2 linked regions of the Saccharomyces cerevisiae S288C genome follow. Changing the gene in region 2 together with the main gene of any one other region gives a genetic interaction. Each region holds a gene or a part of one and is shown on either strand. Other genes may lie near its edges.

Region 1 (3,277 bases), on a different chromosome or scaffold from region 2:
TACCTACTACACAGTATTTGGAAGCTAGGGAGCTCACCCGCGATATTCTGTATAGCGGATACAGGCCAGTAATGTACCCAGTGAAGGAAAACCCGCTATTCAGAGATAAGAAGAGAAAGTCCTTGCAAACGTTATTAACAATGAACGAGAAAACAAACGCAGAGGCGAAGACGATCGATGAGAAAAAGCACAAGAACATATTGTTTGGTGAACGTGGCACTGGTGGTATAATGTCAGGTGGCGTGAACGGTACATGGAAGTACAATCCCACCGTACCCAATGAGCTGTTGCCATTCAATTGGTGGTCTACGTCCAGTATGGGTATGGAATATTTTCCTGAATGGAAAAACGTGCCCCCATATATGATGAGAAAGTTGAAGCCGTTTGACAAGGCACTGCAAATGCGGTTGACACACAAAAGCAAAAAAAAGATGAAATAAATAATAAATATTTGGCATATACATATGGAAAATGATTTTATAGCACGATTCCTCATACATAATAATAATAATAATAATAGGAAACAAAACTATTAATTTTTGTAACCGATTTGAACTCACATTAGGGATCCACGTCACGCCGTGCGCGGAACGGTAGGATGAAAAAGGATAAACAGAACTTACATACAAAAAACTCAAATCAACGCAACAGGTATGTAGTGAAGTAAAACTAGACAAAGAGAAGGATACTTTAGTTAGATATAAGAATAGTATGAAAAGATTAAAAATTAAAATATTAGAAGAACAAATTATAATAAAAGAAAGCGGGGTGAATGATAATAATAATAATAATAATAATAATATTAGTTAGAAATAAGACTTCTTCATAATCGTTAATGAAGAAGTGCATATGATTTGTTATTTTTTTTCTGGTATTTTTTTCATTTTTTTCGGGTTTTCCTTGGGTATAATTTTTTGTTTCTTCCGAAAGACGGAAAGGGATGAGGGAAAACGGAGTTTTCTTATTTGCTTTCTTTTTTCCCTAATTTATTCACGGTGTCCATTTATTATATTCTTAATTGAAAGTGGCGTAAAATTTAAGTTGGTGCGCTTCAATTAGACTTGGGAAATGGTTGGAACACCGACTTGGCCAGTTCTTCTTCTCTTGGAGAAAGAACCAGAACCAAAGGCACCATTGGAGATCATGTTGAAAACAGACATCAGGGTCTTAGCCAAAAAGATGGCACAAGAGAAGTAGAGGAATGCAACAGCGGCTTGAGCTTGTCTACATCTGGTACCGGAACCTTGAGTAATCTTGTTACTGTCAACGTATGAGCTGTTGTTACATGAGTGAGCTCTGATACCAACGGCCAACACTGTACCGGCAGTGAAAGTGAACACAAAGTTCAAAAAGTCCAGTGTGAACAAAACTAGTGGCCATGCCAATGGTTCAATGAAGTTGGCAAAGACACCGTACAATGAATCGGTGAATATACCATATGCACAAGCAAACATACAGTAGTTTACTCTGGAGCTGTGCCTATGTTGGGTGTTTAACAACGAACTGATTAAACCGATGGAAATAACCAAAAATAGGAAATTTATTATACGTAGAATGTTATCAGCTAGGGCTAGCATTATGGGATTATATTGTTATTAGGTATGCTTTGAGAAGAAAAGTTTTTTTAACCGATTTTTCTTATTGAAGATGTTTTTTAAAGAAATGTTTATTTATCCTTTTAAAAAAGCGCGATGAGCAGAAAAATTAAAAATGTAAAACCTTTTCAATTGTATTTTTTCTTGATCAATTGCGAACAAAATAGTGGTATAAGTTAAATTTTCTTAAAAAAAAAAAAGGAGACGTAGAAGAAGAAAGAAAAAAGTATCTTTTAATTACAAAACAAAGACTCTTTTATAAAGGAAAATCTGACAGAAGATTGGGGCCAAGGAATTTATAGGGGTATGATTTTTCTGTATACATATATGAGGAAGAGGGGAGGGAAATGGAAGAAGAAGTAGGAAGAAAAAAAAATCAAACCAATTCTAGTCAATTCCGTTAAGGCAGCAAGCTGCCCATAAGTTTCTGTGAGGGGGCGATCACTTTTATGTTTTGGGCATTTTAATTATGACGCAGAGGTCCGCGGACAAGGGGTTTGCGATGGACCTTTTAAAGCAACCTTGGGCCTACCTCAGGGAAATGCCCCTACCAACGTCACTAACGGGCGTGTGCCAAATGGGCCGATGCTCAGATGCGGCCGTTAAAATGGGGGTGGTGTTTCGGGGCCCCGTCCGTATGTGGAAATACCAAAACAGTAGGGACATGCATCCTTACATCATCCGGTCAATCATCAGGGTAATACATATTTTATACTTAATCCGAGATTCGGACCCCTAGTGACAGAATTAACCGCATAGAACCTCTCAAGCCCGTTTACAAACAAAAGCCGCATTGCATTCTCCTTCATGGGATGGTTTATCGAAATAGTTGGAATTCATTCAACAAGGATGTGATGCAACTACACAACAGTATGCTGAATGAAGGCCTATGGAAATAGCCGGGAGGAGGCAACAGTTCCTTTGTATCGGCAATCGGGCTCCGCGAGAAAGCCGCGTATTCCTCCTGGCTGCTTCCTTTCTCACCGCTGCCGAAAAGCTTAATTATCTGTATAGTTTGTTCCGATGAGCGAAACGGCGTTAACATCAAGGGTTAAGGTAGGGAAAGTGGGAATGACGAGAATTTTTTGCTACGCTTTTTTAGCAATTTAGTTTTGGAAATATTGTGGCTGCTCTTAATTGTCCGCCTAAGGAAAAGACATGAGCAACTATGCAACATAGGACAAAAGAAAGAAGAAAAAAGGAGATCTCCGGAGAGGCAGGCGGCTTTGCCGTTGATTGTAATCTCTTTGTTCAGGAAATTGATATAGTTAATTGTATATGGGATTAGCAGTTCTATTTCATGGATTGCAAATCAAACGTGTGGCTCCTCGAGCGGTAGAGACATCTTTCCCGCTGATGTGTGCAACTTCATATATGTTCATATATGAAATTACGTTTGATTGGGCAAACATATTCCTGCTTTAATAAATATACTCAATTGTTGCAGTTCGTGAAAATTGTAACACCACCTTGAAGTGCATTTCACGAGTGTGTAACTGGGCATTTTATGAAACTTCTTGAGTACTACTTGTGTAAAGAAAGCGAGGTTAGCAGTTTAGTTAGTTGGCTCTGCATCGCTTTTAACGAGGATTACTTCTCACTCTTAAATCGCTAGTTGGCTTTTTTTAGCACTCGACACGCATATCCCAGTTTTGGTTTTCATTTCTCTTGAAATAATAATG
Region 2 (5,243 bases):
TTTCTGCTCAGAAACATCGCCATCACTACTCAAATGTTCATTTCCATTCCTTGTTGGCGTATTGAAAGTGGTATCAGCTTCATTAGTATCCATTGAAACCCCTAAGGAATGTGATTTTTCATCTTCTTCTACAGGAGATGATGAAGAGGGTACCGCTTCCCCTAATGGTGCTTCGTTTTGGATTTCGTCACAACTGTCTGAATCACGCCGAAAATCAGATGTTTGCCTAATTTCTGGTGTCATCTCCCTTGATATTTGCTCTATCAAATTGTCTAGGTCTTCGTTTACAGCCCTATTTGTATGTGGTGATTTTTTGTTTTCACTTGGACTTTTCAAAGATGCTGTCGACGAAAGATAATCTGATTTGGAGTGCTCGCTGGATTTTTTCGCTTGTAATTCCACAGACTCTCTTGAAGCCATAAGTTTAGGCACCCCATCTGAGAGATAGCCTACTTCCTTGTCACTAGGACTAATATCACTCTTACTGACGTTATTATCATTGCTGTCTTTATTTTCACCCGTATTTTCATCATGCTCACCATTAACATCTGTATAATTGAGCTTGGGTAAACTAGGCAAATTAGATATTTTTTGCTTGTGAATTTCTGAACCTTTTGTGCCATCCTCGGAAGAGTAGTCATATTCGTCACTACTGTCCCATCCAGCGCCGTCATAACTTGCTTGAGATGCGCTAACCCATCTATACGATTTCTTTCTACCGACCTGTTCAGTGCTCATAATAAATATCCGCTTTCCAGAAAAAGGGTAATGATCAAACAGTCCCTTTTAACTATAATGCAAGTTTTGTGTTTACCTTGTTAACCATGTATGAAAGTGGTATTTAGGAATACTTTTAAGTGCCTTACAGAATTCTTGGCATGAGAAAAACAAAATAGCTACCCGGAATGAAACACTAATGTGTCACCAAACAAACAAACGACGTTATATAATTGTTGTGATATTTGCATCTTCATCTTATGATGATGAGAATATAAATAATTTTTAATCGTATTAAGTGTATATATGAATAAGCTATTAACCCTACCCATTAATTTCCGGGCGGGTTGTTATTTTTATCAGTATTGGCCTCTGCCGGGCGGCTAGCACGCTGGGTAGCTGCTGCGACAGCGGCTTCTGCTGCTTGCATAGCATTTTTTTGCATTTTTTTACCTGCAAACTTCATACAAAATGGCATCAAGGATGTATTGAGGGCAACCCATGCCACGAGAATACCGTAATTTCTTCCCATTTTTCTTTTGGTTAAATTCAAAAAAATCACTTTATAGATATCCACGGCATTATGGATTGGCATTATGTAGCCGTACCTGTAAAATTCGTTGTTCAAAACCATTGGGTAGAATGAAGCAGAAATATTTAATATGATCCACGTCATCAACCAAATACTCAGGTATGGAGGGCAGTAAGCTATAACTAAGCTGAGAACGTTTTCATTGGCACCACCAACAGCCATCATTACCAACCACGTAGACATCCAATATACTACGAATCCTCCTCTGCCAAAGGCGGGGGTGAAATCGATCCTAAAAATTGCAGATACGGTACAGAATCCAATGGAAAGAAGAAAATAAGTTGCCCAGGAAATTAGAAGCCTGTAGATTAAAATATGCTTTGGCTTCAGAACTCTGGCCATTTCTCCGTGCAACTTACCATATAATGACAGTTGTAAAACGGTTAACAAAATACAATAAATCAGACCGACCTGCAGAGGGGCCATTAGAATACGATCAGCAAAGGGACGATAATCGTTGTAGGTGAACAACAACTGTCCTGCAATCGCCCAGTTCTCCATGTTTATATTAAGATCTCTGTCATTAGAAGTGATGTTGCTCATCAATGAGGGAAGATATTCCTTGACGTAATATTTCTGAAGGCGGACCTCCAATTGTTGCATGAGTGGTAGAATGGTCGATTTAACACTCGATGGGTCACGACCACTTTCAAACACGGATTCAAAAAAAATTGATGAATTGAACTCCGAGTTTGCGTCTTGGCTAATCAAAGAATTATACAAAGTGTCTGTAGCATTAGGTTTAACGTTTAACGCCAGCCAGTATCTCTCATCGTAAATTAAATCGACTATCTTTCTGTCAATTTCGGTGGAGTTCGTCGTACCAAATTTCCTATGAAATGATGTTGCGTTGTATATATGCCATGTCCCGGGGACAGACGCTAACAATGAGGGTATGATCGCGGAAATAGATTGAACTGAAGTATTAGATGGCGCATCCTGCAATACAACAATATTTTTCACTTTGAAAAAGTAACGATCTGTTCCGTAACAGGCACCCCAGTAAATCGATATGAGCGATACACACACACAAGCAATGAAGAAGTTGTTCAAAACAAACTTCGAGAGAATCTTTTTCCTATGATTTCGCAGTCTTGGAGAAAAAAGCCCTGTTTGAATTCTTGCCAAGGGACCGCCGTCGTTACCGCCCTTCTCTTCCTCATTAGCGCCACCTTCCCCCACAGATGACAATGAGGACGGCTTTTCATCAGGAGGCCGATAGTCTTCTAATGACTTTGCTAAGTCAGAAGAATGGCCGGAACCCTCAGCAAATCGCTGATTACTGTACGAAACCCCGTCCCTGCCGCCAGTAAATGCAGCTGCTGCTGCAAAACTAGGGTCCTCAATGTACTGTGACTCTTCATCACCAACCGATTTAGTCATATTTGTTCTCTGTACGGCTACTTACACTTATGTCAGTACCCGATTCTTACGGCGTATAAAAGATTAAAGAAACAGGATATGTGGCTTGATATATACAAAAAAAAAGAACGATATGGAGTACACTATGTATCTCTCAACAATGCTAAGATATGAAGACGCTTATTGACTACGCCAGTCCGTTTTCCATTCCCTTCTTCGAATAGGGTGGCCCGTTGATGACAAAGCTGCGAGTCATCTATCATCAAACAAACTCACGGCTTTCGCTTTTCTTTAGTCTATTTCGGATTGTACCACCTCCTCGGACATTCATAAAAGGATTCGAAAACGAATAACCACGCATATACACGGAAATAGGAGAAAACTAAACGGGAATCGGTTTATTTTTTTCTCAACATTTCTTTTTCCTGATTTTCCATCCTTTTCGAGATCCACCTATTGTGGTGAAAAATAACGAAAATATGTGCTTTAGGTGTGCAAGGCATAATGTGTGGCATACTGGAAGGAACAAGTTGAACACGCCAGCTGGAAAGAAGTTCAATACCAACTTGCCCAATGCCTAACTCAAATGTTCGGATTCCTCCTACTGTTCCATCGAAGATAATAGATGTGGTCGACCAAGCGCTAAGAGCGCGACTCTTAGGTGGCAGCACCTTCAATTCAGGGTTTGATAGTTTAGATTCCGTACTTAACTTACAGTTTAGACTACATTACCATGTTATTGGATCGAATGGGCCTGCAAAACCAGTTTGTGATGTTTTACTGAAGGAAAGTCAAAATTTAGAAAAGAATATGAGTATGATGGAGGAGTTGAATGACTATCCGGAGATTACAAAACTAGTGGAGAAAATTCTGTTCAATTGCCTCGGTATTCTTTTCTTCCACAGGGGCCAATTTCAGGAATCGCAGCGGTGCTTGCTGCACTCGTTGAAAATTCATAATAACACTGCATCGCAAAAAACAGCACTTATGGAGCAGTATGATAGGTATTTGATCGTAGAAAACCTGTACTACCGTGGTCTAGTTTCGCAAGACATAAATATCATGCAAAATGTTTTTTACAAAGAACTACTGGCCCACGTGGATACGATCCCTCCCGAATCAAACGGTCTTCTTTTCGAATACATCAGCTTGATCGTCGCAAAACTCAGGTTCAATCAAATTCAGGATTTAGCAGAAAATTTTAAAACTACCGTCGAAAATCCTTTTATTCTTTTCCTTTACATGATAAAGAAGTTCCAGTCACCTCTCAAAAAGCACATTGATAATGATGATCTTTATTTGAAGTTCGGACAGAACGTTTTGTTGAAGGCCAAATTTCCTACTGCTAGTGAGACAAATGATGAAGCTTTGGAGCATTTTAATGTCTTTTTGCAGTATTATTTCAAATTCACTCACATAAAAAAAATAAAAGTGAATCCCAGTTGGTATAATTTCATAATATCTTCAATGGAAAAGACTTTTCAAAGTATTGAAGTTTCGAAAACAGCAATGTTTCTTTTCCAAAACCTAAGCGATAACAGTAATGACGAAATAAAGAAGAAGACATTTAAAAGAGAATCTATACTAAATTTTGTTAATTTTGTGAAATACAACGACAAGTACTATCAACTGCACGATAACTCCCACCGTGACATAATTTCATTCATTGATGCGTATTCTTTTATTTTACAAAACTCCTCCAAAACCGATTCAATCGAAAATGTTTTTGATTACGATAATACGGTATCTACGTTTGCGACTTCCTTGAATTCCTTCTACAAAGAATATAATTTGCCATTAATGAGCCAATCAGAATCTTTAGATTGGCTAGAAAACAGCACCAGATGTGTATACCCAGGAAACATTTCGAAAGTTCTAACAAATGCGTGGTCAACATTGTACGAAATCAGAAAATATCAGTTAGATTTTCTTGTATCTAATAATTTGACTTCATATCTATGTAATGCAATGATGCTGTCCACAAAAGAAAAAGACAATGCTGATGTAGAAGAGCAGGAAGAAGGAGAGGAGGAGAAGGCATTACGTGAATTACAATTTAAATATTCTTACACTCTAGCACAACAGAGGCACATTGAAACTGCAATCAAGACTCTAGAATCATTGATATTAAGTAAAAACCCAAATTACTACAAAGCTTGGCATCTATTAGCTCTTTGTAGGTCTGTGCAAGAGGATAAGGAAATGTCGTACAAGATAGTTTGCTCTGTTCTAGAAGCTATGAATGAAAGTCTTCAGAACAATACTTTACTTCTGAATGATAGATGGCAATTTATTCACCTAAAATTAACGCAATTGGCGCTAATTGAAGAAATTTTTGGCACTTTAGAGGCACTGGAGACACTTCCAGAGGTCTTTGAATTATACGCAACATTATTTCCAGATTCACAACCTGAATTGAACAGCATGGGTCCCAAATATTCTCAAACTAAAGAATATCTTTTACAAATGGTGTGGATTTTTGCTGCAAATATGTACATGAGAACAAAAGACAATGATGAGGATGCCAAGGCCGCCATCAAAGAAGCCTCCAATGTCGAAAGTAAATTCAAGA

Evidence for each region.
Region 1: mutations in SNG1 (region 2) and NCE102 impair growth when combined (synthetic growth defect), as found in Saccharomyces cerevisiae (one study listed by BioGRID).

What each region holds. Positions count from the first base shown.
Region 1 is NC_001148.4:828,218-831,494, reverse strand, and holds NCE102 (Nce102p), read right to left. Parts: upstream 1,578-3,277; coding exon 1,056-1,577; downstream 1-1,055. Other genes in the region: SUE1 (Sue1p), read left to right, coding at 1-440. UniProt on the Saccharomyces cerevisiae protein: Involved in membrane organization. Required for the formation of membrane compartments of CAN1 (MCCs), localization of CAN1 at the MCCs and subsequent invagination of the plasma membrane at the MCCs sites.
Region 2 is NC_001139.9:891,449-896,691, forward strand, and holds SNG1 (Sng1p), read right to left. Parts: upstream 2,693-5,243; coding exon 1,049-2,692; downstream 1-1,048. Other genes in the region: FYV8 (Fyv8p), read right to left, coding at 1-738; YPP1 (Ypp1p), read left to right, coding at 3,245-5,243. UniProt on the Saccharomyces cerevisiae protein: May function as a N-methyl-N'nitro-N-nitrosoguanidine (MNNG) export permease.